Drosophila melanogaster: one gene and its partner. The protein of the gene in region 2 interacts with the protein of the main gene of each other region in a pairwise test. Each region holds a gene or a part of one and is shown on either strand. Other genes may lie near its edges. The genes, in order: CG7518 and Frq1.

The links.
Region 1: the proteins of Frq1 (region 2) and CG7518 interact in a two-hybrid assay, tested with the Drosophila melanogaster proteins (one large-scale study listed by BioGRID).

What each region holds. Positions count from the first base shown.
Region 1 is NT_033777.3:12,991,336-13,006,958, forward strand, and holds the start of CG7518 (uncharacterized protein), read left to right. Parts: upstream 1-6,753; 5' UTR 6,754-7,249; coding exon 7,250-7,765; intron 7,766-8,105; coding exon 8,106-8,189; intron 8,190-8,247; coding exon 8,248-8,438; intron 8,439-8,516; coding exon 8,517-8,678; intron 8,679-8,735; coding exon 8,736-8,881; intron 8,882-9,055; coding exon 9,056-9,638; intron 9,639-9,743; coding exon 9,744-10,544; intron 10,545-10,613; coding exon 10,614-10,640; intron 10,641-11,293; coding exon 11,294-11,374; intron 11,375-11,435; coding exon 11,436-11,572; intron 11,573-11,634; coding exon 11,635-14,061; intron 14,062-14,132; coding exon 14,133-14,939; intron 14,940-15,010; coding exon 15,011-15,623. Other genes in the region: yellow-f, read right to left, coding at 207-347, 409-1,064, 1,131-1,460, 1,648-1,810; yellow-f2, read right to left, coding at 2,121-2,261, 2,329-2,984, 3,093-3,482, 3,599-3,770; CG7488 (uncharacterized protein), read left to right, coding at 4,356-5,289, 5,347-5,534; CG17327 (uncharacterized protein), read right to left, coding at 5,587-6,006; CG44194 (uncharacterized protein), read right to left, coding at 5,990-6,187.
Region 2 is NC_004354.4:18,147,819-18,163,390, forward strand, and holds the start of Frq1 (frequenin 1), read left to right. Parts: upstream 1-7,550; 5' UTR 7,551-7,914; intron 7,915-13,194; exon of another isoform or gene 13,195-13,240; 5' UTR 13,241-13,410; coding exon 13,411-13,474; intron 13,475-15,572. UniProt on the Drosophila melanogaster protein: Ca(2+)-dependent modulation of synaptic efficacy. Also plays a role in axon terminal morphology.

The DNA of each region.
Region 1 (15,623 bases), on a different chromosome or scaffold from region 2:
TTCATGTTTTCATTTGTTTCGTGCGAAAAGACATACGCATCTGTCGTAACATATAAGATGTGATAAAAATGAGTACTCAAATTTAGGCAATTTTAAACGATACATATGTAAATGCTTTTTGATTTATTTTATTAATAAGTTTCCGTGTGTTATTTCGATAAACATATTACTTATGCGAAAAATTCATTAAAGCAATTCCACGCAAATCACTCACAAACTGTTCCCCTCTTGGCCAGCAATGTCGACTGCCTCCAGATTCGGAAATTGTACTTCTCCACATCCAGCTTGGAGTACACAAAGATGGGCATGGAGTTGGACATCACCCAAATGTATCCCTCCTCGTCGATCTAAAACAACAACGCACTTAACCTTCGTTTTCGTGTTACAAATAGAAAGGGATGAGCTTACGGTCAAATCGCTGGGATAAATCATCTCCGATGAATTGGAATAAACGGAGCCATGGTTTTCCGTTGAGAACGGCTTGCTGGTTTTCCAGCAGCCCACTCCACTCTTCTGGACCTCGGCAAAGAAAATCACCCCGGTCCGCGGATCGTATTTATGCATTGTGGACTGGGTGGACGGACCACGAGTTCCCAGAAGATGGAAGTCGTCTCCATGATCAGAACGTGCTGCATTGAATTCCTGCTGCAAGACCCTGTTGCTAACCACAAACTCATTCGTGCTGGCCATAGGATGGAAGAAGACATCCCTGCTGCCATCGGGCTTATATGATCCCAAGGTCGCCGAGAAAATCCCGTCGTCCCAGCGGAAGGTCTGCCCACCAATGTTGAGATTATCAGAAAGGGGATCAAAGTTAAAGAAGCTGTGCTCGAAGGACCAAATTCTATCGCTTCGCAGGTGATAGACGTGCAGTCTGCGATTGACCAAATCCGGAATGTAGGCATAGGCATCGTTGCACCTCCGAGCGCCCACATCGATTGTGATGCTGGCTAGTCCACGTCCGATCTCCACTATGCTCTGCGGAATCTCAAATCGTTTCAATAAGCGATCGTTAGCCAAATCGATCACCCAAATGCTAGGATGTCGAATCTGCTGGCGATTATCTGATGGTTATATAATATTATTTTAACCTGGATCACCTTGCCTATAAAGCAAATGATTATACTCACTGGGAAACTCCAGCATTCCGGTGTCGACGAACCAGAGACGCCCACAGACATCCACTGAGGTTCTATAGACAGACACTAGGTTCTGCTCGCTCGCATTATACTGATTCACCGCCAAGTTGGGATAGGCCCGTAGATGGGGACTCTGACTCCACCCATCCTTGGCCAGATCGATGTAGTTTAAGGTGGACGGAATGCCCGGCTGTCGCCGTGGCACGGTGACAAAGAGGCGTCCTCGAAAGTGGGTTACTCCTTGGGGCACGTTGTTGTATTGGATGAAGGATCCTGAGGATGAGGAGCCTAAGCACTTGCGGGAGTTGTAGAAATGCGAATCTTTGTCGAACGAATAATTGTGATATATATACATATTATTCGTTATAAAAGTGACGATAAAATGGTGATTAAAATAATATTCATATTACAACCATTTCATAATGTTTTGTGGAAAAACTTAGTGATTCACCGACATTTGCTGATGTTTGAAATTGAACATATTTCAATTGGATATTTTTGGAGTTACCTGGAATGCAGATCCTGTTCCACAAATCCTTATAGCCATCGCCGCGATTGTAAAAGTCCAACTGCTTCCACTTGAAGACCTCAATCATGGGATCTCCATCTGCAGAGATTAGCAATTGGAACCCTGAGATTGCGCACAGGAGCAGAACGTCCAGCGATAACATTTTATAAAATTCCGGTCGTTCGCCTTTCCTGGCTGAAAACCCACTTGTGACTGACTGACTCCTCAGCTTGGGTTCAACTGAGTTAAACGTGCTCTGCGACTCAAAAATGAGCTCAGAATGTAAAGTGATAAGAGCAGTCACTGGGATTCCCAAGCTCTTATTTTCCATGTCTCTTTATTCAACTTTTAAGATTTGTTGATAATCTGAAGAGTATATTTGTAAAGCTAACTATTTATTCGAAAATTTCGTCATTCTTACTTATGTATGTATTTTTAATTAAGTAACAAATTCAACAGGAATTCCACACGAATCACTCACAAACTGTGCCCCTCTTGGCCAGTGAAGCCTTCTGCTTCCAAATCCGGAAATTGTATATACTCGTGTCCAGTGTGGAGTAGATGAAGATGGGCATGGAGTTGGACATGACCCAAATGGTGCCATCCTCGTCAATCTGCAATAGTAAGATGAGATGTATAACTTTTTTTCTTCAACTTTTTTATCCAAAACCATTTGCTTACCGACAAGTCGCTGGGATAAATCATATCCTCGGCATTGGAATCCACAGAGCCATAGTTTTCCGCCGAGATGGGCTTGCTGGTCTTCCAGCAGCCCACTCCGTTGCGCTGGATCTCATCGAAGAAGATCACCCCAGTCCCAGGATCGTAAGCGTGCATCGTAGACTGGGTGGACGGACCACGGCTTCCGAGTACCCGGAAATCGTTCCCATGATCGGAACGTGCGGCGTTGGATTCCTGCTGCAGAACCCGGTTGGAGACCACAAACTCATTCGTACTGGCCATGGGATGGAAGTAGGCATCGCGGCTCCCATCCAGTTTCTGGGCCCCCAAAGTTATTGAGAAGATGCCATCGTCCCAGCGGAAGGTCTGGCCGCCAATGCTGAGATCCCCGGACAGCGGATCGAAGTTGAAGTAGTTGTGCTCGAAGGACCAGATTCTATCGTTTCGCAGGTGATAGACGTACAGGCGCCGGTACACCAGATCCGGAATATAGGCGTAGGCATCGCCACACTGACCCGCCTTCACATCCACGGTGATGCTGGCCAATCCGCGACCCGTCTCAGCTATACTCTCCGGAACATCGAAGCGCTTCAGCACCTGATCCGTGGCCAAGTCAACTACCCAAATGCTGGGACGGCGGATCTGTTGGCGGTTATCTGGATATGAGAATCATGATTGAGTTTTTTATATTCTTGGTCACCAAATTAGATTAATACGGATCGATCCTGATCTTTTATATTACATGTCAATACATGCCAACTCACTTGGATACTCCAGCATTCCCGTGTCGATAAACCAGAGACGCTGGCATGCATCCACGGAGGTTCTGTAGACGGACACCAGATTCTCCGCACTCGCGTTGAACTGATTAAGCGCAAAGTTGGGATAGGCCCGCAGCTTGGGGCTGCGATTCGATCCGTCCTCGGCCAGATCGATGTAATTCAAGGTGGATGGGATGCCCACCCGTCGACGAGGCATCGTGACAAAGAGGCGGCCGCGGAAGTGAGTGGCTCCCATGGGCACGTTATTGTACGGAATGTAGGAGGCGTTGGGGTCGTCGCTGTCGGCGCGGGAGCTGACCACTACCGGTGTATCGCGGGAGGTCATAATCTTACGCTTTCGACGAGAATACTTTCCAGGAAAGACAACCGGAGCTAGTTGAACAATAAAAAAATAGTACATAAGTAAATACCAATAAATCTATCTAACAAGGCTCGCGAGATTGCTATTGCTGAATGAGAACTAGTAATATCATATTATGAGTACTAACCTGAAAAGCTGGGCCTGTCTTTCCTTCCGCCCGAGCTTAGATGGCCATCTCCGCGATTGTAAAAGTCCATCTGCTTCCATCGGAAGACCTCTATCATGGGATCAGCATCTGCCAAGGAAAGCAGCTGTAACCCTGAGATTAAACTTAGAATCAAAAATTGGGGCGATAACATTGCTCGGTTTTCCTGGGGAACTATAATCTAAGTTCGCCTTGCCAAGTTGAGGCCTCAATAGCGACTGAAAGCCAATTTGTTCCCAATTGGAATCTATTCTCACAGCGGTTCGAACGCAAATTATTAAAATTGATAAGAAAAGCGCGACTCTCACAAGTTCTCAAACCGGTTTTGTGACTTGTTAGCCTGATAATAATCGTTAGTAAAAATCTAATTATTTACATACAAATGGAATTATAAACAGCTTTCAGCTTTTCTTTCTTTTTATGTTGTATACATATATAAATCAATCACAAAAACATGAGAAGAACATTTAGTTGTAAGAAACGTTACGCTATTCGTTTATGAAAGCATTGCTGTTCTAGCAATATATTCTCTAGCAATTAATAATAATTAACCCAAAAATATAAATTTAATGCATAATTTCTAAACTTAGAAAACTAAAGCAACAAATTTCGCGCCAAAAGACTTAACGGCGATTTATTAAATTAATCAAATCACTACCAACAATCGATAAGAGGTATCGATATACAAAGCTGTTGTGTAAATCGTAATTTATTTAGCGTAAACAGTGTAAATAGCAATATGCGCTATAATCTGTTAGCCAGTTCGTTAAAATTGCTGAATAGCACGAAAACCCACAATTTGTTCTTGGTGAACGTGCGCAGCTTGACCGGCGCCGCCCACACCAACGATGCAGTGGCTCCGACCACGCGCCCACCGCCCGCAGAATCGAGGAATCCCGGAGAGGAGCAACGATCACTGCACATCGCGGTAATTGGAGTGCCCAATGTGGGAAAGAGCACGTTCATCAACAACACGGTGAACCACCGAGTGTGTCCCACCTCGGCCAAGGTGCACACCACTCGGCAGTCGAACACGGCCATTTACACCACCGGCCAGACGCAGTTGGTCTTTTACGATACGCCGGGCCTGGTCACGCAACATGAGATTCGTCGGCACCACCTGGACCAGAACTTTAAGAGTGCCTACCGCCATGCCATACAGCATGCGGACATCATCGCCGTGGTGCACGATGCCTCAAATGCCTGGACTAGGAAGGAACTGCATCCCACTGTCTTGGATACGCTGAAGGCGTATAGCAACCTGCCCAGTTTCCTGGTGCTGAATAAGATAGACGCCCTGAAGTCGAAGCGTTTGCTGTTGGATCTGATCAAGACACTCACCAACGACACCTTGACAGTTGGCAAGCGGGAAGTCCAGGCAAAAAGTGCTCTCGCCAAGGAAATAAGAATCAACAAGCGGGAGTCTAGCTGGAGCCATTTTAGCGACGTGTTTCTTGTTTCCGCCTTGACCGGCAATGGGCTGCAGGAGATGCAGAACTACCTGGTGGGCCAGGCTAAGCCCAGGGATTGGAAATACCCAGCTGACATTCATACGGACTCCAGCCCAGAAGCATTAATTGTGGAGAGTGTGCGGGCTCGTCTGCTGGACTACTTGCCGCAGGAGATACCCTACAACCTTAAGTGCGAGATCGAGTACTACAGTGTGGAAAAAAGTGAGTACTTCTGTACACTCGTAAAGAAATCCTTTTCAATTCCGATTTTCTTTGCAGATGTTGTCTACACATCCGTGCAGGTTCAGTGCCCCACCACGCGAATCGAGCGCCTAATCTGTGGCGAGGGTAATGGCAAGCTGCGGCAGATCACGGAGCGAGTTACATCAGACCTGGTGGAGATGTTCGGCCAAGCAGTGTCCCTTACTATATCTACAGTTTCCAAGGGCAAGAAGACCGCCGCTTGAGCACTTGTTGATTACTTGTACTTTATTTGTAACGTTGCATAAACCTAAGAGTTCACAAAAGCTTCAAATGCGCCACCAATTTGTCTAGATCTTCGGCAGGGGCTGGACCCAGTCCGAGGACCGTTGCTGTCCCAGATTCCAGCTGAGTGCGCCCGGCATCCCTCACCAAGGCGGCCACCACGTTCGACTCTTGGGCCTGTCGCTCCAGGGAGTTTAGCTGCTCGAAGTTGTCCACGCGCAGCACTATCTTCGGCTGTCCCAGGCGACACCAACGCTGCAGAATGGCGTTCTGCAGCTTGGTTCCCTGCACAGAGCTCTGGTAGCACATGACCGCCGCATGGGCGCACTGGGCCGCTGTCTTTCCCTTGGACATCTTTAGGTCGGTTCGGACCACCAGCGCCAGTTTGGTGGACTTGCCGAAGGCCAAACCGTTGCTGAGGAACTTCTGCAGGATGCTACTTGACGTGGGCATACTTCTGGCTCTGCTGCTCCACGTACTTCTGCATGCACGCCCGGAACTCTTTCACCTTCTCCTGGCAAGCCCTCCAGTCGCCCGTCTCGGCGATACACTCCTGCACCTTGTAGTGAAGCTCTATGCAGCCGGTCTTCTTCAGCATTAGTTCCACGGGATCCTGGTCCGTCGATGCGGACATTTTCTTCTCCACTTCGCCGGCTGAATTCGTTCGTTTCGAAATTACGAAATTCGGTCAGGGTTGTCAACACATCGAAGGGACACGGATATATTCTGTACGACATTTGGCCCACTATCGAATTGAAAGAATTTACTGTAAAATATATTTTCTTGCATTATAAATGTGTTTATTCCATAGACAGAATAGGAAATTTTTAGATCTTTGGGACCTTTTTCTGTATAAATACATGATGATTTGTTTTACCTACAATATATGTTGAAAAAAGTATATGAAACATACATTCCTATGGTTTTACAATTTTTGTATGGCTTAAAATGCTTTTTTAACATTTCCCAAATCAAATTTTTAAGAACGCATTAGTATAGTTTTCTAAGAATGGACCACACAGAAGTAAAGTAAAGCTCATATAAATAAAAGTTTGTGTTTGTTCTTTGGGATAGATGTAGAAAACTTTTCGGCCAAACAAGTGTGCACGGGGTATGACCATTTATTCGTGACTCTTGCGCGGCGTTGCGGTAATTTGAGCGAAGGCCGCCACGGGCACACCGATGCGAATGCAATCAACGAGAAACGAGCGAATTGCAACGAGCAGGCGAAAAATCACAAAAAGCGGAAAATCACAACAATCGTGGGTGCAAACGAAACGGAAACTGCGAGGCAACGGAAAGTCGGGTCCCGGAAAATCCAAACGGATGGCCCTGCAGTGAAACGCTGATGAAAGCAGAGGCGCACTTGGCGCGATTCGAGGGGCAAAGCGCGTTGCGTTGTGCTGCTCTGCGTTCTTTTCCAAAACCGATTTCGATTCCAAAAACCAAACCAATCCAATACCCACACTTATACACTTGCACACCGACACACCAGCGCACACACACAGACACGCGCGCGCATACAGTGAGCGAGTGAAAGTGCATCTACATCTGTGATTTCGTATATAATAATGCGTCGCGCATACGCGGATTTGGCCAGCAGAAGCACCAAAGACTAACAAGTGATCCGGAGCCGGGGACTGACTGAGTTGGCTGGGCTCATTGACCCATCCACCGCGTGAAAGCCCCGCCAGAAATGGCCGATCAGGTGGCGCACACCAAAGAAACGGATGCAGATGAGCCGCTGGTCAATGGCGAACTGCCAATGGAGGAGGCGCCGCCTTCCTGCTGCCATGTGATGTCTCTGTCCTCCATGGACGTAGATGTAGATGCGGATGCGGAGGGCGATGTGGATGCCACAGCGTCCTCCTCCTGCGTCGCCACCGCTTCCCAGCTGAATCCGTCGCCACCGCCTGCTGGTGTCCAACAGGCGAAGCCGGCGCGGAGCAGCTCACCGCCATGCCAGCTCCTGGAGCGGCTCAGCTTTCCCGACGGCAACATCATCAACACGCTGCACACGATCCTCGCCCTGCCTCCTTTTGATCCTTATGCCCCCGCCCCCAAAGCGGAGACGGTCTACAAGGAGGTCGTATCGCTGATGCAGTGGAGCCAGCGGGAAGACAACGCCATCGAACTGGAGCTCAGCGACAAGCTGCTGCACGAGTGCGAGCACAAGGGCGGCGATCCCAACGATGAGACGCGATCGTATTTGGTGGGTTCCCAGAAGCTGCCCGAAAGCTGTGGAGATCGATTTCATTTCATGTATTTTTTTTATTTAAATGTACTATTAAAGATGTGTGTGGGATTTTTTTATATTATACCTACATTTAGATTGGATTTAATGAGTTATCAAATCAAATGGGATAGAAATTATCTTATTAGATCGACTTTAGATGTTTCGAAATACTTAAACATGATTTTTTTTGGTTTAAAGAACACTTATTTGAAATTATGCTTTAGAATATTGATAGGTGCAATCATACCAAATACATTATATTTGAGAATATAAAGCTTTCTCAGTAAATACTCACTATCGTTCACCTTCTTTTCAGATGGCCATTGAGAACATGCGCCTGTTCTCTGAGGATCCAAAGAATCCGCTTCGTGACGCCGACGGACAGCTGCGTGCAATTACGGTGTGTTTGCTTGAAAGGATTAAGATGTATAACGAAACGTACTCCTAATCCATTGTAGCTATATTTCCAGAATCTTGCCTTCATATTTGTGAAACACCGGAAGGAGGAGTTCTTCACATTTTGTTCCTGCAAGGAATGTCTCGAATACCGCGAAACCATCATGGCCATCATGATGGATCAATTTAAGGCTGCGCACATGGTGGTCATGTTGCTAGACGTACTGATCAAGGCCTACAGTCCCATGTTGAAGTAAGAACAGTCTGCAAAACTGCAATAAGAAAAAGTCTCCTAAGTCAGTTGGTAATCATTTAAACATCTCTGTTCCAGAAACGATGCTGCCTACAATAAGTTTGAGAAACTGCTTGAGTGCAACAAGGAGATCTATTGGATTACGAGCGGTTACCTCTACGATAAAAATGCCGAATATCTTGATTTTATTGATGATACAGCGATCTCCGACAATATGATATTAGTGCTATTCAGCGCCATGTAAGTGAACACCCCAGTCCTGCATTTGTTTACTTTAAACGCATTATCTGTTCACAGATTAATGGCTAACAATCCGATGCTGCTGCTACAAATACTCGCCTATAATGTTGAATGCATTGTGAAAGCGTTTTCCGAGGGCATGATCGAAATTGCCCAAAATATTCAGGAAAACGAGAAGATTTCGGCAGAAAGGATGCTGACATGTAAGGGAATTCTCAAATGATAGCTAACTAAATAAATAAGGGGCATATTCTTCTCTTAAGTACATAAATTTAGTGACTAGGAGGAATTTATCTTTTAACTCGAACTGGTTTCATAGGGAAAATCCACTTACATATAAACTCAATGAATCACTCTTGTTTTTTAACCCTGTGTAGACATTCTGGACGGCTACTCTGATCTGAATTGCATCTCGCAGAAGATCTCGCTCAGCCTGTTTGCGTTTGAGAACGATTTCCTGCGAAAGTTCAGGCTGTCGTGGGTTCTTCTATGCCAGCGCCTTTTCCAGCAGCATGTATTCACACCCCTGGGTGATACCATGCTGGCCTGCATCCTGTCGTTGAAGGAGGTGGCTCCATCGGCCCAGACGACGGCGCTGATTAAGCGGTACATGCTGTTCGACGAGCACATGCACTCCATTGAGCGGCGCTGGACGGACATCTGGATCGAGCTAAATAAGTTTAACTTGTCGCCAACGGAGCACGAGCGCCGGATGGGCCTGCTCGATGTGTACAACATATTCGACAAGGTCGTCCTGGACGCCACATCTTTTTCGCTGCCGGATATCAGCGACGATGAGTTTATAGACTTCCAGCGCATCGTCGATCGCCAGCTGGCCTGGAAGAATATCATGGCCTTCACGAAGCTGAAGTGGCCCGATGGCTTCTACGATCCGCCCAATAAGCTGGTGCACGAGGATCTCTGCAAGAAGTGCAATTCACTTCTCGAGCACCATAACGAGTAAGTAGATTGGGTAGATTGTGCACCCAATCTGAAATTTTACAAAATAATAAATAATATAAATTAAAATTTTAAAATTATTTTTATCATTATGTACCATATCAGGAACTGCAAATGCATCACTTGCTCCATCGCCGGCACTCCTTTGCGACCACGACAAGCGGGCCATTGTGCCAAGTGCACAACGCTCGGCATTGTCGAGAAGGATCCGAAGCTGATGAAGTCCAAGATCCTTAGCACCTGCACCAGTGATGAGGCCAAGCACAATGCGGCCATAGCGGCTACTACGAGCTCCTCCACCTCCACCGCCCAGCAACAGCGACGCACTAGCGATCTGCCAGAGGATGAGTCACCAACAGGCAGCGGCAGCAGTGGATCGGTGTTCCGCCGCCAGGCAGAGACGTCCGATACCCTGCGCACCACATATCACATCGCATGGGCGGTATTCCAGCACCTGGCCACCAGGAAGCGCTATCGCCACGAAACCATCGAACCGCAGTTCATCTGCGGTGAGAATTGCCGCGTTTCCGCTTGCCAGCTGGCTAGAAAGATCCTGTCCAACCAGCTGTCGCCGCTGCTGACCAAATATCTGCTGCGCTGCTTCCAGCCGCTGTCGTTTACGCGGGAGGAGCTGCGCTCCACGATTCCATCGCTGATGTTCTTCAATCGGAAGCTGGCGCCTAGTCCCGCCGAGCTGCAGGAGCTGCGAAACCAGCACTATGTGTACAAAACATACTGGACCTTCGTGCTCTCCATCTACGCCAACTTCTTTGTAAAATTCAACTCGAGCAGCACGGATTTCGGTCACCTGGAGCTAATCAAGGGCGATCTGCGCCTGCGGCTAAACAGCGTAGTTGGCGACAAGGAGGACAATCGGTTTGAGCAGTTTCTGGCTCAAGTTATTGGGTAAGTTTTCTCACCTAAATTGTTTCCAACGTGGATGTTTCTTAATAGGCTTTCTTTTCCTCATCGCAGATACTCACCTTTCAAAGTCACTGATGAGTAAGTATTGAAGACCAAATGTTTTGACCAAACATAAACTTAACCAAGGCAGTCCTCCATTTTTCTTTTTTGACACGTGCCATTTTGACATTTGCGGACATGTTTTTATTAGGGACCATCTACACCACAAGCATGCAAACAGGGTTGCCATTGCAAAATACTGCAGGAGTTAAAAAATAATAATAAGCCTGTAAAGTTGTTCGATTATGTGTATAATTAATTAATTTTTAATTATGCTTTTAAAAGGTAATAATCTAGCACTTGGCAGTTAATAGTGTTTTTTTTATGATCTGTCCTAAGTGGACAATAATTAAATGTTGTATATTCACTTAAGCAATACAATCAGTAGTTGTGGGGTGAACATTCTCTTGGGGGGTGTGCCAGTTAAGATATGTCTTTTATTATTCAGCCAGGATGGCACTTGCATTAACATCTTGACAATATCGGCTATCGATTACTGATAATTTGGATCCTTACCTTTGCATATCGTTATCCTCTCTAAGAGACCTGTCAATTAAATCGTGACAATTCAGATTCTAGCAGGCTTCTGTTTGGCACGCCAGAAATATTAAGATTTTAAAAACGAGAGTGAATAAGAAAGGACTTGAGTTGTACTGTTGTGATTCTAAAATTAATTATAATTATCATTGCAGTTTTACTTTGGGTGATGCCAACATAGAGAAGTTGCAATTTGGAGTGGATCAGCTAATGATGTTGCACGACTCTCAGATAATGTAAGTTCTAAATTATAGCAATCATTAAATCATTAACTTATGAGATTATGTTTCATTGCAGAAAACGCACTAAACCAGATAGCACTACTGGCTTATCGGGTGCCAAATCCAAGTTAGGGGAATCGAACGTGCCCCAGTCCGGAGGCAAAAATGGCGAAGCTGGCGGCAACAAGAAGAGCAAGGAGAAGATGCGAAAATGTGAGGAGCTATGATTCAGATTTCTGCTAAGATATTAAGGACGTGTTTTTTATAACCTCTAGGCTGTTCTGACTACGCGGACATTGGGGAGCCCTGCAAGGAGAATCATTCAAAGAAACGGGTCAAAAAGGAGTGCAATCATGCGCGCTTCAATGAGACGCGCGATCGGCTGCGTAAGAAGCTCTCCCAGATCGTCAACGAGCGTAAGACCAAGTCCACGGAGGAGACCACGCCATCGAAGACCAAATGCAGCAAGCCGGAGCCAGTTGCTGTCCCCGCACCGGCAGCCATCCCACCGAAGCGGCCGCCATCACCCTTCAATCCGCCAAAGTTACCAGCAGTGTTGGCTGTGGCGGCTCTCGACCGAATTTGCCGCGAGGAGCACGAGGACGACAGTCTACTGCGTCTGGACAGCCTCTGCAAGAGCCTGCAGAGGCACACGGATGCCACAGACGCCTCGGCTGCGGCTGCTGCTCTGGCCGCTTTCAAGCACGGTAGCGGCTTTCCAGCGGACTACAGCAAAGAGGACATGATGCAGGACTTTGCTGAGTTCCTGGGTACCTATACCTATACCCGTGAACAGGACCAACAGCGCTGGATCAATGAGACGCTCAACTTTATCGAGGGCAAGTCCCAGCAGCCGCACACCGCGAATCCCAAGAAAGCAGCCAAGAAAGCCAAGCAAAAGATGCGCAAGGAGGAGGAGAAACGTATTAAGGAACTGGAGGATCTGCGCTGCCAGTTTCTGGACATCTATTTCAAGGAGTTCATTGACAAGTATGAGATGAAGACCTTGACGGCTGCAGGCGGCCGGAAAAAGGAGAAGAAGCGCATCGGCGAGCTGGAGACGAACATTAAAAACCTTCAGCGGGCAAAGGCTAAAGTGGAGACAGTGATCCTCGAACTTATTGCCACCGTCAAGCAGACGAACAGCGAGTTCAAGTTCTCCTACTTGCCTACCAAGCAACAGCAGCTGGCCAAGATGGCCCAGCTGGAAGAGATCCTGAACGGGGGCCCGACCACTGCCACTGCCGAACCTGTTAGACAGGAGCCTCCACAGCAGTCTGCGCCGCAATATCCCGAGTTCAGTAGTAACGCCTCCTTTTACCATCCACCAGGACTCGGGCAGCAGAACACGCCCGTATGCTTCGCACCACCCCAGCAGTCCCAACATCCGCCTCAACTGTCTCGCGATGTGATCGCCGCCATGGCGGCCAGCTCCATCACTGCCGATCCCTCCAAGCGCATTGTGACAATACGGCGGGTGCAGCTGCCTCATCCGGGCGCCGAGCAGCAGGTGACTGTAGTGGCCAAAGGCAGTGCTCCGCACGAGGACAAACTGCTCTACACTTTTGTCAACGGGCATATGGTGGCTTCAGGTCCGATACAGCCAGAGGAAATGGCTCCTCGACAGGCAACGGTTCCGGCTCCAGCGCCCAGTGTTCCTGAAAAGAGTGCCAAGGCCAAGAAGAAAGAGGCTAAGCGAGCTGCCGCGGCGGCAGCAGCAGAAGCAGCAGCTGCGGCCGAGGCAGCTGCAGCGGCAGCAGCAGAAGCTGCGGCGGAGCAAAAAGCCAAGCTAAAGAACAAGAAGCAGGCGAAGAAGACAGCCGTGGCTGTGGCCACCGCCTCCAGTTCCACAGCGAGCAGCAACTCCTCAAAGTCGCAGACGCCGCAGAGTACGCGCGAAAGCTCGGTGTGCAGTGTTAAGCCAAAGACTGTACCCAAGAAGCCGACTTCCAAGCCACCCAAAGTTGTAGAAGTGACACCACCACCGCCTGTTCCCGAACCGGAACCGGAGCCACCCAAGAGGCAGAAACGCTTGAAGTCGAGACTGGATCCTGGACAGTTGGACAACAATCCGTGGAAGGCGCTGCACATGCAAGATTCGTCGGAGGGAGAGTGGGAAACTGGTAGTGAGTCAGACGAAGGAGTCCCAACACCAGCGCAGCCACCAATAAGGCAGCAGCCCAAACTGCCAGCTGCTCCGGCTCCCAAGCCCGTTGCACCGTCAGTGGTCACAAAGGCGAAGCCGGCTCCAGCCGCAGTTGCAGCACCTGCCAAAAAGGTGAAGCAACAGGAAGCACCGGCCCACCAAAAGCAACCAGCTGCCAAGACTCAGGCACAGCCTAAGAGCAAATCGACGTTTGCTTCCGTGGGCAAGTCCAATCCGCCGCAACAGCAGCAGCAACAGTATCAGCAGGAAAAGGTGCCGCCTACCAAGAGCCAGCAGCAGCGTCCAGCGGAATCATCCAGGAAGCAGAAGCAGGCTCCTGGCAATCTCGAATCCAATCGCAGCGCTCCGAATCAGCGCTGTGAGCATTTGCAGACGCAACAGGCGCCTCGCAGTGGACGGGTCAATGGTCGAACAAAGCCCACGCCTGGAGGTCAACAGCAGCCCGTGCAGCAGCACTCCAACGCTCATGCGGCGGAATCCATTGCTCCGCCAAAGAAGTCGCAGCGTGGAAAGCGCGGACATCGCCAGAAGCAGGGTAAGTTCAAGTTCAACCATTCATTGGTAAACCTAGAACGCTATTATTACTTATTTTATGATTCCCTGCAGAGGATCTCTCTGGCATTCCACACAACATGGGCTATTTCAATCCCAACGAAATTGCCATACCGCCGCAGTCGGGAAGCTATGCCAGCACTCTGGCTCAGCAGCTGCAGCATTTGCGCATCAGCCAGCCAGGAGGTAGTTCCAACTCGAAGGAGGCATCCCAGTCGCCCAACTGCAGCATTATGGACCAGCTGAACCGCGGTGTACAGGTGGAACACCTTTCCCTACCGCCTGGCATCACCCTCACCAAGGTGGATCCGGCTAAAAGCGAGCAGTTACGCCAGAAAAGTGAGTCCATCCGTTTGCTGTCCAAGCCACTGGCCGAGCAACAGCAGCAGCAGCATCACTTCCAGCAGCAGTCTCACCTCCTGGCCGGCTACTATGGAGCAGCCGGTGCCGCTGGCATGGATCCCAACGGTGTAATCATGGTGGAGGCCAACCCACGGCCCAATCGCAGCCAAGCTCCAGTTGCACCACCCAATGTGGCTGCAGCGGCCTCCGCAGCGAGCGCCAACGGAAAAGCCTCTAGGCGTCGTCGTCGCAATCGTGGAAAGTCTGGTGGCGGGAGCGGCGGAAACCCAGGCAGCTCGGGGGCGGCCAACAAGCAACGAACGGGAGGAGAAGGCGGCGGATCAGCAGCAGGAGCGGCTGATGGCCAGATATTGGCTAACTCGCCAGCCACTGCGGCCACCATTGAAGCTAACGCCAGTGGTAATATTATCACGCTGCGCAATCCCATGTTCCATCAGGGCAATGGGCCAGTGGCCGGCGGAGGCATGATGCCGCCCAATCCCAATCCAATGCCGCCAGGTGAGTGGTTCTTCTACTTGTCGCAATTTCATATACGATAATAACCAACATATATTAACTATTCGTTGCAGTGCGCAGCTTTGGCGCCGGACTTCCGGTTCCTCCAGCCATGTCCTTGGATCAGCCTGCCGCAATCATCAAGAACGAGAACGGCATGTTTACCATACGCAATCCGGCGCTTCACCAGGCTGTGACCAATGGCCTGGCCATGGGAGGCTATCGCCAGTTCGGTGGCAATGTCAACTATTACACGCCCCAAGAGGCTGTGGCGGAAGCGGCACGAGCCGCCCAGCAAAAGCTGCAGCAGCAGCAGCAGGCCGGTAGTGCGGCCCCAGTTGCTCATGGAGGCGGCGACAGCTCGAATTTCTCCTACTTCTCCAGTGGATCGGCCAGTGGCAACGGCAGCGGAAGCAGCAACGGCGGCAACGGGACGCACAACAATATCAGTATTAGCTGTACCAACGTTCCCCCAACCAGCGCCGAAAGTCCTGGCCGATTGGTCGGCGAGGCGGCAGTAATTGCCCGTCCCAAGCACTCACAGAAATGTCTATCGGCTATTGGCAGTGAGCTGAAACAGAAGGCCAGCAAGTGGCCGTGCTTTGGTCAGCAGCAGCAGCAGCAGCAGCAGCAGCAGGATTATAGCAATAGTGCTGGCGGCTCTACGAGCGGAGTGCCACTGCAGGA
Region 2 (15,572 bases):
TTCATATACATAGGTATCAGTACCCATTTAGTGCGAGTTTTGCGTCCAACTTCCCGCCACCAATATCCTTCGGCCCTGGCTCATCCTCTTCCGGCTTAACCTTCATTTGCTTTGGCTAAATGCGTTCCTTGGGGGCGGCATTTGGGCCGTCGATAGTCGTGGGCGTGGTCCGTGTGTGGGTAATTGTTGGCGCGGTTGATTTGATTGAAAGTCGTGTGGCAAGTGTCAGAATGGCATGGAACGGTGGCAAGTGCCGCTCAGCGGGTGTTGGGTGGTTGGTTTGGCTGGCAGGATGAGGGAATCCATGGTATGCGATATCGGTTGGCAAGGCGTGCCGCTGGCTTGGCATATGATTGTGTAATTGATTTGATCAATAGAAAGCCAGAGTCGGCCGAGAGTGCGGGTGAAAGTGGAAAATTTGCTGCCTTTGCGATTTGCTGGCCAAAGGAAAACCAATTTGGTGGGCTCACCGATAGCGAGTAGGTGCAGCAGGAGTGCCATCAACTTGAGGCAATCTACGCACGTACGCTCTGTAATTCGGTTTTCCCCTAGTTTTTTGTGGTCACCTTTCACGGAGCATATGTCGGTAGCTAAAGTTCAAAGTTAATTACAACATAATATTATAGGCTTTTTTCTATTAAATTATAATCAGCTGATAATAGACTTATGTAAGCTAGTAATTTCTTAGACAGTCGTAATAAGCACATATGTAAATTATTGGAATTATCTAGAATAGAATTTAGATCAGCTATTTGAAGCTTTTATTTTGAATTGCCCACGGGAATATTATTTAATCAATTGTACCTTATTTAAAATCATAAAAAACTTTAGATATATAATAATATAAGATGTGATACGATTTGATTTCTGCTTGCTATTAAAATAAGAAATTTTCCAATACATTAAGTTTGGCTTTCAAAAACCCAACAGAGTATTTCTCTCTTCGACTTGAGCTTGAGCATCATTACTTTTTCGAGACTTCATTTGTTTTTTCGACGCTTTTCGACGCTTTTCTATTTCTATTTTTAGACATTTGCGCCATTGAATAGGCTTGGAACATTTGACCGTTTTACCGCTTAAGAGCTTGACCCATGGCAGCACGACCTTTTGCCACGTAATTTGTTCGAATATGATGCGGCCCAAACAATGGATGTGGGCGTGGTCCCGAAATTGGGCGGGTCATAGGCGCTAAAGAAAAGAATGGAAGGCCCGTAAAATTGGCGATTCGAGGGGCGAAGATTGGGGCTGCGGGTCCAAAGTAATCTTCAGTCTCAGTGTCGGGCACAACGATTGAGATTCTCATTTTTATACTCATTCCCGGGGGGCATCGATTTTTGTCCCCACCTCTCCGCTAGTCCAACATTCTCCAGGGAGTTTTTGAGGTTCACGAGGGGGGGGGGGAGATGGTGGGGGATAGGAGAAAGAATAGGGAAGTCGGGCGGGGATAGGAAAAATCCGCATTGAAAATGTGCCGCGCATCTATTTCCATATAAATTGGCTGCCGCTCAACCAAAAGCATCCATTGCTCGGCTGCTCAGCTTCCTTCCCTCGTTTACCTACTGCTGCTCCTACATGTATATCCCCCGATTTGCCCCAAAACCCACCAAACCTCCGCTCCTCCCATCCCACCACCACGTACCCCTATGTCCACATGCTGTAAACTGGGGCCAGGCAACTTTGCCAATAATAAAGCGCCATTAGTGCTGCTACATAAAGTGGGTTTGGGGCCAGGGATGGGGTATGGGAAAATGGGGAAATGGAGAAATGAAAAGCAGGAAAATGGGAGAAAAACCGAAGCTAGAGAGATATTGAGCAACCGGGGGATCCACGGAGGTGTTTGGGCGGAATCTGCTCCCGACCAGGTTGCCTCCAGCAAAAAATGGCGGAGCCAAGAAACTGGGAGCTGGAAAAGTCGCCAGGAGGAAAATATGGAAATCGCTGCAAGGGTAAAAATAAACATATAGCGGAGTCACAAAAAAATTCCAACTGATCTTAGGTTCCGTGTCGAGGTATTCTAAAGTGAGTTATTTTGTTGGGAATACTATGCAAAATAATAACTTAATATTTAGTATAAGTGTATAATTTCAGGTAATAAAAAAAGATACTTATCACTTATCACTATCCTTGATACTGTTGGCAATCTGCAAAAACCTTTTAAAGAACTTTTTCAAATGATTTTAATTCAGTTCTTGCTTACAACAGACTGGTCAGAGTTTCGCTGGCGATTTGCCGAGATTCGTTTTACCATCAAGTTAATCATGTTATTGAAGCTACCCGAACTGAAGTTGCAAAATCCAAAACAAAGGCAAAGGCCGTTCAGAGGGCGATTGTGGCAGGCACACACAGGAAATGTGGTGGGTGGGGCGGTGTCGAAGGGCGCAACAATTCATGTAGAATATTGTTTATGAATTCAGCTCGCTATCGCAAATCTCACACACACATACACACACACACTAACACACACGCAAGAGCGCACAGGAGCAAGCAGGAATTTCGTAGCATACTTTCATGGGCAATTGATAAGCAGTCGTCGTCCTTTGCGGCAGGGAGTTTGTTATGGTTAAAGTTTCTGCGGTTCTTGCCACATATTTTGTGGCTGTCCACTTCCGCATTTGGAGTGTGAGCAAGTGGACCCTATGCACGTACATATTAAATATACACATATATGTACATACATACATATAGTATGTATATATATTTATGTACATAACATGACCCTGCCTGCGGCTCGACTGTTGTGCCATTGCCGGGTCCAATCAAGGAAAGTGTTAAGGTTTTATGCTCAACGCACATGAAATCACTCTTGGCCATGGCTTACGAGTATTCCAAAATTCTCGGCCAATTGAAACTTTTCGATGATGCGGGTCTGCGGCCATTTATGGCTAATGATTTAGTGGCTTCCATTGATTTATGGCCAAGTGGGTGCCGCACTCAGCTCAATCAGCTGGGAATGACTTGGTTTCCCCAATGGACCTCTGAGCTGTCGAATAATTGAGTACAGTCAAGCGTTCCTAAGTGACCAAGTATTTCAGCTAGCTATATTTATTCGAATATATGCAGCAGGTTTGTATATAAATAAATTCCACTTAAATTACCCAGTTTTTTGTACAGTTCATTTATTTTAATCTACTTAGAGTCCCTTTTTTATTGGTTACTTTTACAGAAGTTTTTCTGCGTTTAACTAAACTTTATTTCTGCTTTTTCCTCTTTGTCCGCTGGTTTTTTTTTTTTACACTAGTGCTGGCACTCAACCCAATTCCCCTTGTCACTTCATACAAAACTCAATTAATAAAAGTTGACGGCGCCCATTGAGCGTAAAACTGCGTTGATGAGGCATAAAAGTGTTTTAACCCTGCGCACACACACAACTCACACACAACAAAAAAAGAGGCATACCTCTATGTACAATACATATATATATATATTTGATAACATTGCCGACCATCGATGAAACCCTTGAGTGGGGACAACTGCCACTCGACACCCATTGTGGCATAAAAAAATTATGCAAATGAATGGGCCACGCAGGTTCGGGGGAGCCGCTAACGATGCTAACCATGGAAAAAAGTTGAAAAAAAATCAGGAAAAAACTGAAGGGAAAAACAGTAAGTAAGGGACGCACACAATGGAAATCCCCGAAACAATAACAATCCGCTGATGATAATCTCCAGGCAGGTAACGAGCGAGTCCTGGCTTCCGTCTGCCGTCACGCATTCCTGCCCGACACCCCCGCAAATTCCACCCACACCCCACCCTGCAATCCCCTCCCCCTTACAACCCTGCCCCATCCACCAAGTTGTTCTTCGTGTTTTATGTTAATGAATTTATTTATTATTATTTCATGTTTTTTGTTATTTTTTTTTTTGTCGAGGGCTGTGCACCTTTTTTCCCATTTTCACTTGGTGCTTAGGCCTCGATTCAGAGCCACCGTAAATTAATTTGGCCACCGCAGGATGTGGAAAACAAGAGAGTAACTGGCATTGGCAGTCGTAAAGGGGCAACATTGCGTATACGCCATGTGGGCGGCTCTTATCGCTACACGTGGACTATCTGTCGCTGCTGTTCGTCTCTAGATGTTTGTCTCTTAGCCCCGTTAGGTTTGTCACCTCGCTGCAGGCGGATCGCTAGCAAAATAACTCTTTTATTTGTCGGTTTCGCCGCAGAGCCAAGACAGTTCCAGCAAGTCCCTACAAAGTCCCCGTCCAAAACTAATTACAAATGTAGCATTTAGAAGGGACTGGGAAGCTGGATGCCGCCACGGCATCAGCTAATTATTTAAAATGCTCGGCGACATTAAAAAGCACTTTCGCCGCGCAATGATAATCACAAAATGTTGCCGCATGTATCCCGAGCAAAATCCTCCATGTTCTTGTATATTTTGTGCTGCTGCTTTTGTGGCTTTTTTGATAATGACGCTGATTAGTCAGCGCTTACGACAACTCGGCAATGTCTTCTTCTGCTGCTCCCTCCACAGCTTTATTCTCTTTTTCTTTTTCTTTTATATGGCCGAATCTTGGGGCAAGAAGACGAGGCAAGCTAGATAGAGAGAGAGAGAGAGAGTGAGTGAGGGAGAGAGGAATGAGCTTGAGGATTAGCAACTTCTAGGAACTTTAAAATTAAGTTCCCTCAACTGTCTCTGACGCAATCGAGTCGACTGGAAAAACGGAAATGGAAATGGAAAACTGTGTTCAACAAAAAACAAAAATACGCAAAAACGAAACGAAAAAGAACTAAATTTGATTGATGGCAAAGAGTTTTGTTTGCCGCTTGTTTTCTTTCACTGCACTCAACTTGGACATATAAACTGAGCAGAAATATTCCCATTCCCATTCCCATTCCCATTTCCATTTCAATTTTCATTTTCACTTGGGCAGGGGCTAAATTGGGTTGGGGTTCGGTTAGGGGTTTTGCGAAATTTCATAACAAACAAACAGAAGTAAAAACAAACATGGAAGCGTCTGACTCATAAAAGTTTAGTTCGTCTAATTGCAGCTGAAAATTATTTGGATTTGCTTGGGATTTTGATAAATTGCCCAATTCCATTCGAATGGATAAACACACATCCACTGTGTACAGCGCACACACACTACACACACACACACACACACCACCAACGATCCGAAGAGTCGTCTTTAATGAACTGGCCCATGGATCGGCGAGAATCCGCAGATGTCTCGCTACCGAGGTTAACACCTCATGGTCCTCCAGAGGGCCGTAAAAACTGATGCGGCCATTGGCTGGGCAATTAACGGGCATGGCAACAACTGGAAAAGCCACGCCGCCACTGGGATGTGTGTAAGTACAGTGCGTTGCGGTGCTGTAAGGCAGTGCGACAAAGTAAACGGTTAACTTACTGCTTATAATTTTACATAGAAGATGGATTTAAGATACACTCCTTAAATACAGAACGTTAAATCTGACTATAGTTCAATAAATCCTAATAAACACATTCAATATATACCCTTTTGTGTTACAAGTTACTTGTAACTTTTACACTTTTGTGCCGCACTGTGCGCACATAGCAAAATGTAAATTTTCAGCCAGCAACTAGCGCTTTTCGTACCGGCAAAATGCCCACCCACTTGGATGTGGTTTCACTGGCCCCTCCCTGTCCGTCCACATTGGGGCGCCTTGAAGCCCCAACCCCAACTCCAAAACCCCACCCCCCACCCACCACCATACCACCTCTACTTGTCTTTGTCTTTCTGTGTGTTTTCAGGGGGGGTTACGTCATTGAGGGACACGCAATGGCAAATGTTTGTATTTTTATTATTATCGTGTTATGCCATGTATTTGTTTGTTTGTTCGTTTGTTGGATTGCCGGATTGTTACTCAGCCACGTCATAGCGTAGGGATCCTTAAAAAAAAAGAAGAAAATTTAGGAGGGGGGGGGGTCGGATGTCTGGGGGGAGAAGGACTCGTTCTGGAGGTGCGCCCGTCGCTCGTACGCACTTTCCCCCGCCTCTAGGATTTCGCGTATCTAGCGCTCTGGTGATAAAGTTTTTCCCCGTCAACTGCTGCTGCTACACAGAGCGAAAAAAGGCGAAGTATTCGTAGAATTGGAAAGAATGTTCAAACCGTTGAGAATTTTATATTGTTGCAAGTTCGCTGAAAATTATCATAATTTTATATAAGTATTTTCAAGTATATTGCCATTAAAGATCTTATATATATGTATATATTTGCATACATATTTTCTAACACAAAAACACACACGAAGTAAAAGCAAACACAAATCCGTCTGATTCAAAAAAAAAAAAAAAACTATCTCTTTTTAATTGCAACTGAAAAACATTGGGAATTGCCTTGGATTGTGATAAATCGACCATTTCCATCTGAATGAATAAACACAGCATTTTTTAATGGTAAATGTGGGTCGTAAACTACAAAATACACTTCGTTTTATTAGCATTTTCGAATTTATTAATCGACCTATTCGAATTAACCTTAAAACGTTTAAATATTTATGTATTTAAGCTAATAATGAAAGGGAGATGAAAATATGATGAAAAGCTAATTTTATCGCAGAATTTAATAAAATGCAACTTCGGTTTTGGGATAATCTGCTCAAGTTTCTTTTACTTGTGGTTAATTGCAATACAATACAATAACTTTTATTTTTTTGTTTGTTATATTGTTATTTACTTTTATTAAATTGAACAATTAAGCCAATAAACAAAAGGCAACCCAACGATGATGGTAAACTTCAATAAATAAAAGTTAACTAAACTAAATTTAAGACTAAATGTTGGAAAATGTTTTCGATTGTAGGAAAATCGTCGCTTTCCATTGGGCCGTACTGTTATTTTCGCTGTGTGCTGCAAAGTGGGGGGAAATTTATCGCTAACTGCTTGGCTGATTGTCCCAGTTCTTGTTCGACTTTTCCCAGCTCTTTGGCGATTTGGGCTCTTATCTAAGACCATTGCCAGCTTCTGGTAATTGTCGATGGCTCCCGCTGCAGAACTGGTGTCCACGGGTTTGCCATTTTCGCTTCCATGGAGTTCAATATTCACGAGGGGTCCCCGTTTTTGGCCCATTTTTGCGCTGGCTTTTCGGTTTTCCTCCTCTTACATTTCTTTTTTTTTTTTTGGTCCTCCGCAGCTGCTAAACTCTTCGAGTTTTTTTGTTGTAAGTTCTTGCAGCTTTTAACACGCACACAGAGGCGCCTCAACACGCACACAACGAGACGCGTGAGAAGAGAGCGGGAGAGCGAGCGTGTGAGTGGGTGAGTGTGGTGAAAAGCTTCGGTGCCTGCGCCTTCGTCATCGTTTCGAGTGGTGAGTTCACTGAAATGCCTGCATATGTGTGCGTTATATAAGTCAGTTATGAGTCGCGAGTACCGTAGTGTGTTAAGCGAAGTGATGGCAGAAAGGGGGCGGTAGAAGGGGTGCCCAACTCGAACTCACCACGACCCATTGAGAATGTTACCAAAAAAGTTCTCAGTTGTTGATAGCGCACACACATATAGCCAGCCGTTTGGCCGTACTGCCGCACATTCCGCCGTATTCCATATTCCGTATTCCGTTCGCCGTGGAGCGTGCAGAGCGCTTTCAGTCGCTGATTTGACCGCCAAACAAACGCAACGCAGCTCGGCAGGTTTTTAAGTTTACAATCAAATCGCTGGTTCGCAACGACAACAACAAAAGGACAAAGCGCGCTCTCCGGTCCACGGAAATCGACAACAACTACAGCAACGGCAACAACAACATTAGCCGCCAGTGGCAGCAACAAACAACCAACAATAACAACAAAATAAAGCCATTACCTAAATAGTTGGTTTGTTTTCCTTTTTTTTCCAAGTTCCAATCCTGCAAAATAGTTGACATTTTTTTTTCGGTTAAATAATACGAACGTCAAGCAAACAAAGCAAAAATAATAAATTATAAAAACGAAACAAATACGACAAACAAAAAAGTAAGCAAAAGTGCGAAAATTAAATGAAAACATTAGTTGTGCCGCAGAACAAAAAAACAAAAAACAAAAAGAAACAATCAACAAAGGGATCAAGTGTTTATTTATATTTGTGTAGCATACTTTTGTGCGGCAGCCAAAGATTAATTTACACAAAAGGGATCCGCACACGCACACACCCACGCACACACACACACACACCCGCAGGCAGACAGGGAAAGAGATAGCTTGAGAGGCGAAAGAGAGGGCAAGACGAAGGTTACTTTCGCATTTATGCATATGGGATGCCTTCGGTTTGGTTGGGGTTTTTAGTTTTGGTTTCGGTTTTGGTTCTGCCATTCGTTATGCTTACAAAACTTGACCCAAATTTACGTTTTGCGGTCCAGCAGCTGCCGCTAAATAAAAAAAAAAATATATATATATATAAAATAAACGCGGGGGCGGTGAGGCGGGGCGAAAGGGGATTGGGCAGCGAGACAACGTGGAAGGATTATGTAAACAAAAATAAGTTTCCCAGCCCAGCGAACTTGTGTCGCGACGCTTAGACTTAACCTCCAAGGACTCAGTTTTCTCATTTTTCACTTGGGGGGCAGGCACCTCAAAATCCCCAGCCCCTCAACCTCTTCCATTCCCCTCTAACATCCATCAATGGCCGCAATCATCCGCACACAATCCGTCCGTAATCACAAATGCAGTCCCCAACTCTCACCTTGCGTGTCATTTCCTCGTTTCTTTTTTCGTCCCCCAATCCTTTTCCATTTTTTTTTTTTTTGCGAGTGACAAAATAAAGGGAGAGAACAAATCGAAACACGGCGCTACAAAATGCATTTTAATTTGCATCAATTATTTGTTAATTGGCCATGGGCAAAACGTCCGCACAAATTCCGGAATTGGCACGAAAATAGCTGCAATAGCCGAATTGAGGACGGATCTTATCCGTCCGCCTCGCTCATTTGCAACCAAATTGGCCAATCTGTCCGGGCTTAATAGATGCAATCTGCCGCCATTTGATGATCTGCTAACTGGGATATTTGATACCGCAAGATGTGGCCACTAAATGCCCAGTTATGCTATTTCAAACGTTTATTCAATTATATTCAATTATAGTAAGCCATTTTAAAGTGATGTTACTCTTTAAGATATTCCTCATAAATAGACTTCAAGATCCTTTAAAGTTTAAAGGTTTTAACTGCTTTTATCGTGTTTAAATATGTGTCCTTACATTTCTTTGGGGTTTCACAAAACTCGATGTTTTTGAAACACAAATATTTTCATTTTAATGTGCTTGTATTTGTTATTGTCTTTTTGAAATATTTAAAAAAGATTTATTTGGCCATAAATTTATAAGCTTAATAAGTTTCTATGAAGACCAACTTTTCTGATTAATAAAGTATAACTCCTTAGTTAAAATTTTGGAATTTCAGCAACTAAATTCGTATTCGTTTGGCATCTGAATAATTTCCGAGTATTAAATGCATAGCTCAAATGCTAACAAGTTGAGCCAATTAAAAATTTCCAGCTTGCCATATTCTCAGTAAATTTATTTCATTTTCTAGGTATTCAGTTGGCCTGGTTTCAGTCTGCTTTTCTAATTTCCAAATTAATGCTAAGTTCATGGTGATAATGTACAAATTAAACCAATTATAAATTTTCACATTCGCAGTACATCTATTTCAATTACTTGTCAGTTAGCAGCCTCGAAAATATTTTTGGCATCTGTCCGATTTGCTAATTTCGAAATTCATGTTAAAATGCACTTAGCCCGTTGCCATGAATATTTCAATTGTGATAGCCGCATTTAGTTTGCTAAGCCCTGCAAACCCAATCACACTTTTCTCCCAGGAATTCCACATTAAATACTCGGCGGAATTTCCATTGCCAAGATGAGTTGGCAACCGCCGCTCTTGGCCCGGCCTAATCCAATCGCCTTAAGGTATTCACTGACATTTAGGCAATCCCTCGACACTCTGGTTGCAGTCCGACCGCCATGTCTATCTGGCCATCCGCCATTTCAGGACCTTCGGGATCCTTTTCCGCTCATCGAAATCTTCGAAATTCTCGAATTCTGCATTGTTTGCATCGAGACATTCGCCCCATATTTGGGGTAGTGGATGAAGTTCTTGTCATCCATTCCTGAATGTGGCTGAATGTGGGTGTAAAAATTAATTTACCACCTCCGCGTGGTGGTGAATGCGGGGTGACGGCCCCGCCTTTGTGGGCTCCGCGTCTTGGGTTCCCTGCCTCCTGCCGTCGGCCAGCTCAATCTTCATTTGCATTTCTACACAGCCAGAAATCGGTAATTCTGCAGTTCGCCAATCAAAGTGCTTAAAGTGCTTAAAACGGTGGTAATCACCCGGGAACCAACAAATTGCAGTTTGGATTTAAAATAAGCATAAAAGCTACAAAATCCTTGAAATCTACAAACTTTGCTTGCACCACCAAAACTGTGAATAAAACAAGGTGGTTTGCATTAATAGTTTGGGATTTTCTGAACTTTTAAAAATTAGGAAGCTTAACACTCAACAATTTCTATCGCTAATCAATAAATACAATAATTTATTTCTATGTTTGTTTGTTTACTTTATAAACAATTTACCTCAAGTTAATAGGTTTCTTTTTGTGCACAGCGACTTTCCTTTTCATTGCTTTTACTTTAAGACACCGCTTTCAATGAAATTGCTTACAATTTTGAATATACTATTCGCTTTTTTTTGCCAGTGTAGCCCAGCTTTCGGGTATCGTTTACAATCCATTTCATTCGAATAAGTTTGCGCGTCGCTCCGTTCCATTCACTGCGTTCCGATCCCGATCCCCCTGGCCATGCCCACATCCACATCCATTTCCATTCCAATTCCTCCAGCGCGCAGTTCTTCGCCCTTTTTCCCATTTTCGGTCCCACTTTTGTTGGCAAGTGTAGATGAGTGCGAGAAAAGTGTTGCATGCTCGCGGGCTAAACGCGAGATGAACACGCAGCTGAAGGATAAAAAGGAGGCGGCTGGCTCAAGAGGGGGAGTGGCTGATGAAGGAGGAGGCGGGGGCGGGCAAGACAACAACAACAACTGCAGGCAGTATGAAAAATAAGCACACACCCACACATAGACAGAGAGAAGCAGGGAAGAAGGACACATTCAGACAGATAAACGAGTCGAGTTACAAGCCAGGACTTTTTTTTTTTTTTTTTTTTGGGCCAGCAAGGGAGGGGGTGTAGAGGTAGATAGCGAGGACCTGCTGCTATCTGCATCCCTGTCTAAATAGTGCCATCCCGCTCGTTGGCACTGCATTAGCAGCCAGCTGTGAACGAAATAAACGTAAAAATATTTTTAGTGTGAACAAATTTGAGCTCGTCGTCGCTCGTTGTAAAAGGCAACACAGAATGAAACTGAAACACTGCGACAAACGCACACAGATACGCACTCACCCACACACACACTCACGCGGCAGCACACCTGACATGATAACACACACACACACACACACACGCAGAGGAACAAACTGTGTTTAGTTAGCAAATGCCAATGGCTCATGTTCGCAGGGCAGACAGAGAGAGAGAGAGGAGAGAAAGAGAGAGGGCGAAAGGGAGAGAGTAGGAAAGTGAGTGTGTGGGTGTATCACTTTGCGTGCCTCTGTGTGCGACAGTTTTGTAAACAAACAAAGTCAAAAGCAACAAGAATTTTACACGACTTGAACGAAGATATTGGAGGGCCTCTCTCTTTGCTGGCTGGCAGCCTTTACATAATTGTGCCCAGCCCAACAATAAAAATGAGTTCATTAAAAGCGAAAGCAGGTGACCCCATTACCTCAAGTAACTCTCCATATTTGTTATCCAGCGAAAGGGATATGAAAGTCATTTCGGGCCCTTAATGCCAAGGCTCCTGACATGGAAGAGTTTTGCTCATAGTTAATGGGTGAATAGGTCGAAGGACAGGTCATCTGCTCTATCTGAAGATACTTTCTTATGAAGATACTCTTTTGAAAAGATACGTTCGCTTGTATACGAACGTTTGATTTAATTAGCTTATCAGCCTCATAACCTCAAGTAAATCCTCATATTTTATATTGGAATTAGTTGGTTTAAGCATATATCCTATCAGCTAATAGCACTTGAGAAGGTCCGCGATTTCCTCGATCAATTGGTTTGATTTGAACACAATTCCGGAGCACAAATTAAGTTTCGTGCTGTCAGGATGAAAGGGATCATCTCGGATATCTGGCGATGAACAGCAGTTCCGTCACGTTTACCACCAGCTCCTGACTTTTCCCCGGGGATTGAGTGTTTTTGATTTCGTTGCTGCACTTGATACGACCGCTTTGCATGCGACATCTCGACGGGACTGCATCTGAAATTAACAGAATTTATTTCATTGCATACCACGGAGCCCCCTTCGCCACCTTCCACCGCTTCGCTCTCCTTTTTCTCTGGTGGCAGAGAGGAGAAAAAATACAAAGGCAACTTATTTTTATGCCATTCGCGTCAACCGCAGAAGGCAACAGAGGAAAACGCCCCCACCAGCCCGCATCCACCCCCTTTGGCACACACAGGGTTAAGTTTTTTATGCGCTTTTGTTTGCATCCTCTGCAGCGGGCCACGCCCTCCGCCCTCCGCCCTCTGTCCCTGCCCCCACCCCCCCATTCCGCCCACATCTAGACGATTTTTTTTTTGTTGCCAACTGTCATGAAAAGTTCGAGTCGAGAGTTGACCTGAAAAGTGTCGCTCTGTGTATTTTTATGCCTTTCAATACATCGCCCCACCACCCACCTACACACACACACACACACAACGACCCCATGGAAAAGCGCCCCTTTTTTCGGCACGCCTCTGGCCTCGTTATAATCATAGTGCGGCGTTGTTGTTGTTGTGTGGAAAATCACTAATTGAACAGCGACGAAAAGCCAAGTAAAAATAGTTTTTAATCAAAAGACACAGGACACATGAGGGATTATCGATGGGTTTTTGATGGATGAGCCTCCTGCGAGTGGGTGGCCAAAATGAAAATCCAACTGAATTTGAAGCATCCTTCGCATAAGATCTATTCACACTCCTTTTAAGCGCCACTCGAGAAGTTATTGAGCTGGGAAAAAAGTGCGGCCAGAACTTTTTATAAACTATCTTGGTCCGTTATTGAGATGCAACAAAATTGAACCCGTATATATGTATGAATCTATATACATATATATATATATATATATAGATTTAATATCAGCAAATATGCCGTGAACTATGCACCACACTTTCCTACTTTCCTCGCATTTAACTTTTTTTTTTTTTATAACAAAATTATAAAGCATATTAAAATACTTATGGCAAACTTTTGAATAACCGAAACAAAAGCAACTACAAAAATTGCAAAGTAAAACGAACTTGCGCAGCGCAAAAAAGTTTGCCACTAAAAAGCAATAGCAGTCAAGTGCAACAACAACAAATAACAAATAACAACAACAACAACAAGAGGTAGAACAACAACAGCAACAACAACTAGGGAGCCACAACAAGAGAACAACATGGGAAAAAAGAGCTCCAAGTTGAAACAGGATACCATCGATCGCTTAACAACGGACACATACTGTAAGTAAATCGCAACACTAAAATGTCTCAATATTCAAATATCAAATGGTACAGTGCATTTCAGCAGCATAAGTACTCAATTAACTAGTGGTACAGTGCGTTTCAGCAGCAAAAGTACTTAATTATCTAGTGACTGTGCGTTTCAGCAGACTTAGGCAGTAATATGAAAAAATAGATAAACCTACCATTTTAATGCACATTTAATTAAAGTTAATTAAAGCACATGTGGCATATTAATAATAAATTTTAATTTTCGCAATGAATTCAATTAATATATATAAAGCTATATAAATGGCATCCAAATGACACAGAGTAAATATAAAAATAAACTACCCAATTATAACATATAATGGCACACCTTTAAATGGTAGCTTAAATAACACTTTATAAATTCATGTTGTTATACCTTATCCCCTTAAATCAAGGACCTCAACTGTTTCGTTAATCGCCAGGATTGCTTACAAAAATTGGCATTTACCCTTGGGAACTGAGCTCGCTTAATACTAACACTATATCAATTCCACATCTAGCTCATTTTATTATTTTTCCATCCACAATGTCTGCAGCGTGTTTTTCCTGCCCCGCCCTTTGATTTACCTTGTAATAATTCCGTTTTCTTATTTATTTATTTGTTTGTTTGTTTGTTTTGCCCAGGCATTTATGCCCTCGCTCTTCATTATTTTTTTTTTCATTTTTTCCTCCTCCTGCTGCCCCAAAACTCATTTACCATTTTCCTTCGATTGGCATTTACCCCATTTCGATTTGTTTTTGTTTTCGTTCGCCGAGCATCAATCAAAATACGCAAAGGTGCAGACATTTTCCGCGTACGTAGATAGCCAGATATCCAGATATCTGGTAGCCAGATAAATGCATAATTCAAAAGTGTTTTCCCAGCCAACTTATTCATCGGCGACGGCGACGGCGACTGACTCATCATCAGTCATGGACTCGTTGGCAATAAAGTCGCCCCAACTGACGGCGAACATCTGAGCCCGATTCGATTTGATTCGATTCGTTTCGATTCGATTCGATTGAGAAACTTGGGATTAGCCAGCTAGCTCAAGTTCGGTGCATAGATGGAGTGCGAAAGGATCCTTCGTCCTGCGGCTATTGAGTTACCCCGTGCTGGATAAAAGAGGGGAGCGGTGAGCACTTGACATTTATGGTTTAATTTTATCGCTTTTTCCTGTAGCCACTTTTGCTGCTACTTTGTTATAAATTGACATGTTATTGTTGCTGAAACTGACAGCTGCAGTTATGGCTGCTTTCGACTTGAGCTTGGCTAAAAAAGCGTTGGCATTCCGAAGGATATTATAGCCCAAGCTATAAACTTGGCTGTAAATCGGAATGCTTAAGTTCTAGACATCAAATCTATACAGGGATAACTCAATCAGGGTCCAGTAATTAGGAATAATAATAGAGCTGTCCTCTCAATGATATTCCTTCTAAAAAAGTCACATCTTGAAAGCGGCAACACGTTTGAAACTGCACTTTACGTTTATGGTAATGCAGCTCACCTTTTACGACCTTCTTCAAACCACAAAGTTGAACATTAATTGTATGCTTTGTTGCTCCGTTTCACCAGTTGTTGTGGCTAACTCTTGTGGCCCATACAATGTGTTGTGTTAACTGTTACTATTAGTTACTACCCTTGCTTTACGTGACCCGCTACCGATTTCCGTTACGTTTTGTATCTCCTTCTGTGTCTCTGCATCTGTATCTTTTGTAGCTCCTGCAAGAGAAGTGCCCTTTTATCTGCCGCTGTTTTTACTGCTAAGCAGGACATTACATTTACTTAGCTGGCACCGAGCTTTTGGTCCTTTTTGTGTTTCGGCCATTTGGGCTTCTTAAAAATGCAAGTCAGAAACTTTTCGAGCCCAAAACTTTTGTGACTAATTGCTTTCGTTTGCCTCCTCGCTGTATTTTCTTATTCTGCGGTCAGGGGTTAACCCGGCGGGGGCGAAGGGCTCGACGGGCGTATAAATAATTACCGCTGGGCATTCGGGGGCACCTGGTCGAATCAAAAAAAAAAAAAAAAACAGCTGGAAAATAAGGTAGAGGACCGAGGAAAAGTGTTGACAGATTGCTGCCAAAGTTT